Mus musculus: one gene and its partners. The protein of the gene in region 1 interacts with the protein of each later gene in a pairwise test. Links are inferred from orthologs where the notes say so. Each region holds a gene or a part of one and is shown in the gene's direction. Other genes may lie near its edges. The genes, in order: Psmf1, Bend7 and Fbxo7.

Region 1 (3,650 bases):
TGTTTGTTTCAGGCGTGATCCCCTGAGCCCATTTGCTGTCGGGGGAGATGACCTAGACCCTTTTGGGTGAGTATTTCTGGGGAGGCAGCAACAGTATAATTTGCTTAGTGGCTTGCAGCCCAGCTCATCCCATTTTAGAGCTTTCGTCAGCCTCCCCTCCCTTTGGAGTGAAGGAGGTAGTGATGAGTGGCTGAGGAGTCACTGCTACTTTCTGTGGTCTGCCATACCCAGAGCAGTTCAGAGAAAGACCTGGGACCCTCCTGGGCAAGAGTCATAAGGATGCAAAAGGAAAACCACACAATGGGCCACAGGCTGTAGAGTAACAGCTCAGGCTATTTAGTGGTTACCTCATTCCACAAAGGGAGTATCCTCTGATTCTCATCCTGTATCCAGCAGAGGTTCTGTACCCTCAGCTCTGCAGTGTTCTCTGAGTGAGTCAGATGAGGTTTAACTCCTGCTGAAGAGTGACCCCACTTTTAGCATCTCAGTTTTAGATCATAGGACTCACTTAACTCTTCAGAGCGGCTCAGACAGTGACCTCAGCATGTAAGCCTATTTATCTCAGCTTGAGTGCATGAAGTCAGGTCTGTGGAACTCAGTGAGGGACAGAGAATGGCAGGAGCCAGGCTTGGGCAACCCACAGGCAGTTAGCAGCTGTGCTGAGGCCCTTAAGAAAATAGCAAACCCTCGGCCAGGCGGTAGTGGCGCACGCCTTTAATCCCAGCACTTGGGAGGCAGAGGCAGGCGGATTTCTGAGTTCAAGACTAGCCTGGTCTACAAATTGAGTTCCAGGACAGCCAGGGCTATACAGAGAAACCCTGTCTTGAAAAACCAAAAAAAAAAAGAAAAAGAAAATAGCAAACCCTCATCATGGTATTGACGCTATTACTCCTAGACTTAGGATAAACTCTGCAGAGCTGGAGAGTTCTGTATTGATCCTGGCCAATTCTAGCTCTGGTTCTTGACCAGTTGATCTTACTAAATGTAAGATGTGTCAGAGATCTCTGTCCTGTGGGCTCACGGAATCCTTACAGAACTTCCTCTGCTGCTGCAGGCCCTTTGGCTCCAGTGGTGCACAACTTTGTGTGCTCTTTGTATTCTTGTTCACTCTGACTTGCTCTCCTGTCTTCCTGGACTTCTAGAGTAGTCATGCTGGTCAATTTTTATTCACTATATGCCTGTCTCTCTTCTTCAAGGGCAGTAGTCTCTGTAACACCTGCTTACCCAGCTTCCTTCCTGTCTCAGGTGTCAGAGAGGTGGCATGATTGTGGATCCCCTGAGATCCGGCTTCCCAAGAGTACTTATTGACCCATCCTCAGGCCTCCCAAACCGGCTTCCTCCTGGTGCTGTGCCCCCAGGAGCTCGCTTTGACCCCTTTGGACCCATTGGGACCAGCCCATCTGGGTAGGTATTCACTCAGGTATGCTGAGAGGTGGGACCTGATGGCAGCTCCGCTTAGCTTAGTCCAGCACTGCAGCCGAGGTATCTGACTCCAGGCACAGCTGCCATGCTGCCTCCCTGGAGGCCTAGGGGGTCTCTCCTCACCTTCTTCCCTTGGTGTCTTAGTTGGAGTTATCATTGCTGTGATGAAACACCATGAACAAAAAGGATCTTGGGAGAGAGTTTATTTGACTCCATATCACGGGTTCATCGTTAAAAGAAGTCAGGACAGGAACTCGAAGAGAGCAAGAACTTGGAGACAGGAGCTGGTGCAGAGGCCATGGAGGAGTGCTGCTTGCTAGCTTGTTCTCCCTGGCCTGCTCAGCCTGCTTTCTTACAGAACCCACCAGCCCATGGGTGGCCCCAGTCACAGTGGGCTGGGCTCTCCCCCATCAATTAAGGAAATGTTCTACAGGCTTGCCTGTAGTCTGATCTTGTGGAGGCATGTTCTCTCAATCAAAGTTCCCCCTCTCAGATGACTATAATTTGTATCAACTTTATGTAAAACTGTCCAGCACGCTATTGACCCTGCAAGGACAACACAGGAGAAGAAATGCTTATGTCAATAGTTCTTTTATAGATGAGAAGGGCAAGGCCAGGAGACTGGGTGTTTAAGCCATGGTAAAATTTAGTTCCAGGCCATCTGGCCCTAGAGTTCATGATCTTAAACTCCATGTCACTCTGTGGGCCTCCTCCATACGGGGCATGTTTCTTGCGTACTCAGCCTCATTCTCCAATTCATTAGACCCTCTTTACATTGCAGACCTAACCCTGACCATCTTCCCCCACCGGGCTACGATGACATGTACCTGTGAAGGCCTCAAGAATGTAACAGCTCAGCCTCCCTTTTACTCTCCAGGAGCTGCCACCACTGGCCCCATCAGCGTCAGTATTCTTGTGGGCTTGGGGCAGAGGATTCTGCCCATGTGTTTGCAGGCCTGCTGGGGTTGCATCCCCAGCCCTTGTCAGAGCCGAGGTGCCTGCTGCAGCACCCCACCAAGCTGCATATAGGTCCCACGGAGAAATTAGTGTGTCTCAATCACCAGCTCCTCCCCACTTGCAAGGAAGACTCCGGCAACATCAGCCCTCCACCCGATGCAGTCGCGGTCACAGCGCTATAAGAACAGAACGCATTTTGGATGTTATTATTAAGAACCAAATGTCAATACAGAATACATGTTGCCAGTCTTCCACGCTCCTTTTTGTTAATGCACAAACTCTTAAGAGTGTGATACTGCATAGGACTACGGGATTCCTACAGGGCATTCTTCTCAAGCACCCTCGAGTCACAAGTTACTCTTGCTCCTGACATCACTAAGATGAGCCCCACCCAGGCTTTCTGGGTGGAAGTGTGATTGGAATCCATGAGCCACAAGGATGATTTCACCAAAGCAGGCACACTAGAAAAACTGCCATCTCCTCCCAAGGGCATGCTCAACCAGTTGCTCTGAGCAGCCTGTTGACTCTCCCTGGGCTGCAGTGGCCTGTAAGTAGAGGAATAAACAGAACAGACCTGTAGGCTAGTTTCATAGTGACCCTAAAGAAGTCCTTTCTCTTAGGAGCCTAGTAACGACCTGTGAAATCAGAGGTGCCTTCACTGGAGCTCTGTAGTGAGCTGTGTGGATGGGAATAGCCCTAGGTACTAGAGAAGAGAAAACGAAGGTACGCTGTGTCTATTACCTGCTCTTCATGTCCTCCTGGGACTGACAAGAGCATAGGAACATGGGTCCAGCCAGGAGGAAGGGGAGCCTTTGTCTTTGGAAGCCTGTGTCCAAGCTCTCCCAATCTGTAGAATTATCTAGATATTTGAAGCCCCAGCTGACAGGCACTGGCAGTGCTCTACCCCTGTGCCATAAAGCTGGAAGAGCACAATGGCGTACTGTTCCAGGAGACACCAAATCAAGTACCAAGCGCTTCGTTCCATGGCCGGCAGCCCAACCATGTGTGGCTCCAGGATAGATGGGGAGATAGACTGGACTGACAGGACCAGGGCCAGTCTCAGGGAGGCTGGGCTTGGGGCTCAATCCAGCATGAGCAGGCTCCCTAGCTGTTGAAGGATCCCATGGGTCAGGCACTGACCACCTTGAAGGTGTAGGCCATTCTGTGCTCTGAGGCCACAGACCATGCAGAGACAAGGACAAGACGTCCATTGTGCATCAACTTCATCCTTGAGGGCTGGCAGGTGGATGTTTGGGTTCTGTTGGTAACTG
Region 2 (3,650 bases), about 150 Mb from region 1:
TGGTGCAGAGAACACTTGACGAGGAAGGACGACTAATGAGGCTTTTCCATGGCCTTACCCACCTAGCCCTGTTCTAGATAGACTTCTTCCAAACTGTTTCTTTCAACCAGTCTTGCCCAGATCATCATCATCGTGTCCTTGTAGGCTGTAACTGATCAGCTGAACTCCAGAGACATTAGGGCTTTTGCTAGGATGGGCTTACCAGAGAGCATGAGCATCTATACTTAGATTTATGTTCTGGGGTTCTCCTTCAAACCTGCCACATGACCATGAAGCCATAGCTCTTAACCCTTTCCTTCCATCGAAGCCAGGCTGCTGTACCGGTCTGATGATCCAGTACATTCAGAGCTGTTTCTCCTGGTGAGAAACACTCTGCTGTTAGGACTTTAAGGTGCTGAGTGAGATATATCTATCTGTTCTTCATCCTGAGGGAGCCAAGCCTCAGAGTCAGCGTGTATATCGCAGAGACAGGCCAGGGTAGATTTTCCTCAGACACAAGTGCCTGTACCATATTTGTGTTTATTGTCCACAGTTGGAACTCAAAACAGACAACAACCCCCAATTTCCCTTATGTGCTCCCAGCGAACCGCCGTCTCACGCAAGAGAAATAAAAAGAAAAAAGTGCTTCCGAAGACTGTGCAACCTGTGACGGCTGTGGAACCAAAGCCCAGTCCCTTGGAAACTGAGAAGAAGCCAGCAGCCTCGGCCACAAGGCCACCAGGTCTCCAAGCTGCAGAGCGCACCTCCACCGAGGAGAACCACGTCCTGGGATTTGGCATTGTTCTGGAATCGCCGTCCTCAGATGTAAGTTGATATGTTCTGGCTGCCAACCTGGTTGATAGAAGTTTCAGGAACCTTGTAGTATTAAGACTCTTTCCACCTAACTAGTTCTGCCCCAAACAAGAAGAGAGGCATGCATGTGAGGAAGAGGAGGAGACTGGTAAGAACCGGAAAAATGTGAGCCTTCCTTGTTCACAGACATCCCACTTCTTATCTCAGAAAGGAGAGGGGTGTGTTGTAAATAATCTGCTCGCTAATTTCTCTACGATTTTTAATTTCCAAGTGGCAGTTTTCAATTTCCTCAATGTAGAAAACTAAGAGAATATAATTAAATCCTTTGTAGACGGGCATAAATGAACAGAAGCTTACAGATAAGGTCATACCTTTGTGGAAACACAAACTAAAAATAAGAAAGGAGCAGCGGTGCTAATTCTGTTTTATAGATGCAAGCCACACTGCTAATTAGGTGGCAGTGCCATGCCATTTACTCCGTGTAATGATAGGTTAACGCTCTGCAAAGGTTTGCTATTTTAATATCACGGCCTGAATGATGTTGCAGTCTGGGACGGTAGATTGCATCCGAGATATCCATCTGACATGCTGTTTTATATTCATGGGCCCATAAATGAATTTCTGTCATAATGTGCTGAATTTGCAGCTGCATACTCTATTTACAATATCTTTATCTAGAGTACCTTTACGTTGTGAATCCCAACTTGTTGTCAGAGTTCTTAAAATAAACAGGAAAAAGTGATGTATTGTTCCCAGATTGCATAGGGTGAGGCTCCTGCCGAGCGCTCCCACAGACTCCTATAGGATTGGAGTTTCTCCCTGCCTCCTGAACTTTAAATAGGAAACAATTGCTGATTTCTGTAAGTATCATGAGAGGAAGGCAGTTTGCTAGCATTTATCTACATTTGGGCTTTTAATGAAAAGAATCATCTCACTATGTTTTCAATCTAGAAAATTCTTTGCACTTTCACCAAACCTTTACTGTTAAAAGAGGCATTTGTTTTAATAATACGTGTGTGCTAAAGCCATTAAACTCTTCTAAACTAATATTTAATTTACAAAATCCTTTTGGTAGTGAAGTTTGGTTGTGTGACCAGCTCCCTTGTTTGATCGTATTTTGTTATCACAACAGCTAAAGCCTGGTTCAAACCCTAGGTGAATCATATATTTGAAAACAGATAAATTATTCTATAATAATTACAAAATATTATAAAGTACAGCTAGGCTGTTTTTGATAAACTGTCATGTTTTCCTTAAATTTCTTAAAATTCTTTTCTGCTAGGCATTGGTATATTAGAACAGACTGTAGATCATCTGCTGTGTAGATGTGTCTAGTGCCACTAACAACTGAATTTTACCCTTTTATTGTTAAGATTCAAGTGTATTTTATCAATAAATTGGAGGTGTGGTAAAGACCCTGTGTATATTTGCAAAATAGAATAGAATTTTTATTAGTTTTACCAACATCAGTATTTATTTATGTAATACATACAAACAGTTTACATTTTATTCATGGCTGACTCTGGTACTTCTTACCAAAAATGATTATTAAATGATAGTATGATTGTAAGGAAAGGGTGGGAAAGCTGTGGGCATGTCATCTTTACAGTACCCATTACACCACCATTTAATTTACCTCTTCAGTACATGAGTGAGCTGAGAACCTCACATAGAGAACTTAACACTGAGTCCCAGGATGAGCTGCAAAAATGCTTTCCATGGGCTGTGCTCATAGGTGTCTGTCAGGCTGGCCGGAGCAGTTCCTGGGACGAGAAGTGGGCTTGACTCCAGAAAAATGGACTCTCTCTGCTCAAGGGACCTCCAACTTAGGTCCCTTTCTAATCTTCTAGTATTTCTTAGCTATGAGGCTATAAAATGTTTAATGGAAGTCTATAGGGAATAATTCTTCTAATTTTTACAGCAATTTTCCTATAAAACAAGTTGGAGAAAACACAGGGAGATAGGAGTTTTGCATTAGAAAATGGCTTCTGAGCTGGGCGTGGTGGCACACGCCTTTAATCCCAGCACTCGGGAGGCAGAGGCAGGTGGATTTCTGAGTTCGAGACCAGCCTGGTCTACAGAGTGAGTTCCAGGACAGCCAGGGCTATACAGAGAAACCCTGTCTCAAAGAAAGAAAAGAGAGAGAGAGAGAGAGAGAGAGAGAGAGAGAGGAAAAGAAAAGAAAAGAAAAGAAAAGAAAAGAAAAGAAAAGAAAAGAAAAAAAGAAAGAAAAGAAAAGGGCCTCTGAAAAGTCTGCAGTGTTCAGAGGCCTTCAGTGGTAGTGTTGGGCAGTTTGTCTGTTGTTTCTCAAATAGCTGAGTGGCTTTGGGGAAAAGCAGGATGCTTCCAGGAGAGAAGACCTTGATGCTGCCCGTGAGATACAGTCCATCTTCGTCTGGGGGCACAGAGGAGCCGCTGGTGTAGGGTTCAGCAGAGGAACAATCTGCCTGTGAGGGTGGGGCCTGGAGTCCGTTATGAGTGAGAGACAGATGAAGAGGGAGAAGCTAGATCAATGGCTCTCAACTTGTGGGTCGAGACCCCTTCGGGAGCCGGCTGTGCCTTTCACAGGAGTCGCATATCAGAGATCCTGCATATCAGATAGTCACGTTAGGATTCGTAACAGTAGCAAAATTATAGTTATGAAGTAGCAGCAAAAATAATTTTATGGTTGAGAGTCATCACAGCAATCAGGAGCTGTATTATAGGGTCCCAGCCTTAGGAAGGTTGAGAACCGCTCTACTAGAGTTTAGGCAGAAAGCCAAAAGCTCCCTCTGGTTAACCAGGCAAGAGTGGGAAGCCTTAAAGTGAAGGGAGGTCCGTGAGGACAGGCTGCTTGCTGAGGGCAAAGCTCAGGCCTG
Region 3 (3,650 bases), on another chromosome or scaffold:
AAGAAGGCAAATGCGTTTTTGTTAAATGAACACATGACTCCTATTTTTAGACCTCTCAGAGCTTTTATAAGGTTATTACCGGATCCTGTGAATGTAGAGGGTTAGATTAGGCAGACGTAGCATGCATGTAGTGTTTTTCTGCTTGACTCTGTACCAATTTTTCTCTAAGAACATTCAGGGACACAGTCTTAAAGTACAATTGTGGGAAACAGTACTGCCTGTCTTGAGGAAATCCTGAGTTTTCAACTGGGACATAAGATGTGATTGGCTCCTTAACTTTGGGTAACTGGCAGGAGTACATGGTGTATATGAGACAAGAAGGGGAGGCAGGCACTCTGAGGAGGTGCTGTTCCTGGAACTCAGGAGACACATAATGGGGGTATGAGGTACAGTGGCACAGGAAGTACAGCTTTAGAGAGATCTGGGCATGGTAGTGGTTGGAGCTATGAGCACAATTAGGTACTGTTTAGTAAGTGTATGGAGACTTACCGATGAGCTCCATGTTTTTAGCCTGGAGTTATGGGACTCAGGACAGAGGTGTAGGTTGCAGTGTCATTTATTTATAAGAGCTTCCTATATCTGAACCTCATGCTGGCTTTTGTTTTGAGCACTAATCTCTGCTCAGTTTAGGTTATAAAATGTCCTATGTAAAATTAATGAATCTATTATCCTTTTTAGGAAGGGCCTAGTCAAAATGTTGAAGCTGAGTCAATTCAGGATGCCATGAGTATGGAAGAGGTTTCTGGTTTCCATCCATTGGAACCAATGCTCTGTAATGAAACAGAGGATGGGCAGGTACCACATTCTCTAGAGACCCTGTACCAGTCAGCTGGCTGCTCCAACATCAGTGATGCCTTGATAGTGCTGGTGCATCTCCTGATGCTCGAGTCAGGCTACATTCCTCAGGTGAGTGCAACCCAAATACCTTAGGAGGTGTGGTGATTTGAATATGCTTGGCCCAAGGAGTGGCACTATCAGGAGGTGTGACCTTGTTGGAGGAAGTGTGTCACTGTTGGGATGGGCAATGAGACCTTCCTCCTAACCACATGGGAGCCAGTCTTCTCTTAGTGGCCTTCAGATGAAGATGTAGAACTCTCAGCTCCTCCTGCACCATGCCTGCCTGGTAGCTGCCATGTTCCTGTCTTGATGATGATAATGGACTGAATCTCTGAACCTCTGAGCCAGCCCCAAGTAAATGGCTGTCCTTATAAGAGTTGCCTTGGTCATGGTGTCTGTTCATAGCAGTAAAGCCCTAACTAAGTCATGATGTCTCCCTGGGTACTTCACAAGGGCATCGTGATAGTCTATCTTCCTTTACTAAATGTGATTGGTTCTTGAATATAAAATGTCAGACACAGTGAGGAGTTGTCACAGGTACTCAGTAAATGTGCCCTTTCCAGCATTCCTTCTTTTTCCATCATTTCCCTTGTTAGCATTTAGTATTGCCCAGAGATAATGGCAACTGGTCCAAAAGGGGGGAAAAAAAGACACAAGGTTTTATATACTATAATATCAAGATAAAGTGTGGCAGTGTGGACTGAGTATGAATGATGCTGACTAATTAATGTGTCGTGTTCATAGGCTTGTGCTGTGGTTGCTTATCGTCATTCAGCATGGGTTTGTTAAGCATCTACTAATTCAGTGACTTGTTTCTGTTCCTGGTCTTAGGTCTTTGTTTAAGTTACTGTTAGTCTGAGAGTAGAGAAGAATTTAGACCATTATAGTATAATGTGTAAGTTCTAGGAGAGACACTTACACATCCAGAGTGCCAGGGACTCTGGATGAAGAGTTAGAGTGGAGCTGGGAATCCATGGGACCGTATTAGAGCCGAGATTCTGACTTGTAAGCTGAGGATAGAGCTGGGCTTCTTGCATACTCTGGCCTGACCCCTGCGCTGCTGGCCTGTACATGTTCCCTGTGGCCATGGATAGAGCACAAAGATGGAGAGTAACCCAGGATCAGGGAACGCCTGTGCACACATTTCTCAGAGTTCACAAAGGAGCACAAAAGACCAGACAAATATGGCATATTACAAATAACAGTGTAAATTGACAAAGAATAATAAATATGCAGTGATAGAAATGTGAGTAAATGTTAGAAAATAACTTTTCTAAAAAGGGCTGTATGAAGGAAGTGCTATTCACCCTGCAGTCTTGAGTAATGGTATGTCTTTACTAGGTAGAAAATGTGAGCCTTAGAAGAGAAAAATTAAGCCTTATTTCTATGATGTCATCTTATCTATTAAAATGAATATTTTGATAGAAAAATATTATCCTCCTTTAGTGTTAATGATGTGCATATTATGTTGAGGCTATGCGTCTTTATAAAAATGTGTGAGGTGTGTGTCTGTGGGGCGTGTGCATACCATGTAGCATGTGTGGCAGTCAGCAGAGATCTGTGGAGTTGGTTGTCTGCCTTCACCTTTCTGTGGCTCACCTTGAGTATCAGGCTTCTGTGACAAAGCACTTTATCTGCTGAGCCTCGTCGGTAGCTTAAGGGGGGCTGTGTTGCACAGTAAGTTAGGGGTGTTAACTGACTTTCAGGTTTTTCAACACAACGCCTTTCTTCATTATTTTTCCTTTCCTTTCATTCTTCAGGGAACTGAAACCAAAGCAGTGACAATGCCTGAGAAGTGGAAGTCAAGTGGTGTATACAAACTGCAGTACACACATCCTCTCTGCGAGGGCGGCTTTGCCGTGCTTACCTGTGTGCCTTTGGGAAACTTAATCATTATAAATGGTAATGGGACGGAGCAGTCATGGTTGCTGCCTTATGAATTAAGTAGTTTCTTTATAAACATTCTGTAGCCACTTGAGTGTCTGTCCGAGTCGTTCACAACTTAATTCCTATACCACTGATGACATATGCCTGAAAGATTTCAAATGCGAGGATGTTGGTTTAGAACAGCACCCTTCACTCTCAGGGTAGCCCCCTTGTTTTCTTTTTGACCGTTTGTTTTTATTTTACGTTTTGAGTGTTTTCCCTATCTGTCTGTGCATCATCACATGCATGTGGTGCCTGTGGAAGCCAGAAGAGGTGTCAGATCCCCTGCGATTGGTGTTACAGATGCTGCGAACTGCCATGTGGGTGCTCGGAATTGAACTAGGCTCCTCTGTAAGAACAGCCAGTGCCTATAACTAACCGTTGAGCCACCTCTCCAGCCTCAGCTCTTTCTTGCGATGTCTCATTTTTTGAACACTTGGTTCTGTGAGAGCTGTGGTAATAGAAATAAAATGAGTTTTACTGTGTAGAAACTTAGAAGAGTGTTCTTTTGTGCATGTCTGTGAATGTCTCTTTTTATTTACTTCTTTAAGTCTTAACCTGTGGTTGCATTTCATGTTAGTCATGATGTCACACAGGTCTTTCCCAACCACCACTGGTTTCTGGAATGTTCTCATGATCTCACAGTAGGAGATCCATTTGGGTGACCAGGATTTTACATCTCATTCTGATCTTTTGTTTTATTTTTATACTTTTGAAATTGGGTCTGTATAGCCCAAACTGAACTCAAATTCTTTATGTAGCTGAAGCTGGCCTTGTACTTGTGGTTCTTCTGTCTCTGTCTCTCAAGTTCTGGGGTTGTGGGTGTGTACCACCTAACTGGGCTAACACTGTTTACTTTCTGAGATGATCTTCTCAGGTACTTACGC

What was found.
Region 2: the proteins of Psmf1 (region 1) and Bend7 interact in a two-hybrid assay, tested with the Homo sapiens proteins (2 studies listed by BioGRID and IntAct). The two-hybrid records come from large-scale screens. The link is inferred for Mus musculus from reciprocal best matches to the Homo sapiens genes PSMF1 and BEND7.
Region 3: the proteins of Psmf1 (region 1) and Fbxo7 interact in binary tests that used the Homo sapiens proteins (3 or more experiments, as listed by UniProt). The link is inferred for Mus musculus from reciprocal best matches to the Homo sapiens genes PSMF1 and FBXO7.

The regions. Positions count from the first base shown.
Region 1 is NC_000068.7:151,717,239-151,720,888, reverse strand, and holds part of Psmf1 (proteasome inhibitor PI31 subunit), read left to right. Parts: intron 1-12; coding exon 13-66; intron 67-1,245; coding exon 1,246-1,404; intron 1,405-2,203; coding exon 2,204-2,255; 3' UTR 2,256-3,650. UniProt on the Homo sapiens protein: Plays an important role in control of proteasome function. Inhibits the hydrolysis of protein and peptide substrates by the 20S proteasome. Also inhibits the activation of the proteasome by the proteasome regulatory proteins PA700 and PA28.
Region 2 is NC_000068.7:4,752,188-4,755,837, forward strand, and holds part of Bend7 (BEN domain-containing protein 7), read left to right. Parts: intron 1-532; coding exon 533-804; intron 805-3,650.
Region 3 is NC_000076.6:86,028,331-86,031,980, forward strand, and holds part of Fbxo7 (F-box only protein 7), read left to right. Parts: intron 1-678; coding exon 679-906; intron 907-2,597; coding exon 2,598-2,739; intron 2,740-3,650. UniProt on the Homo sapiens protein: Substrate recognition component of a SCF (SKP1-CUL1-F-box protein) E3 ubiquitin-protein ligase complex which mediates the ubiquitination and subsequent proteasomal degradation of target proteins and plays a role in several biological processes such as cell cycle, cell proliferation, or maintenance of chromosome stability.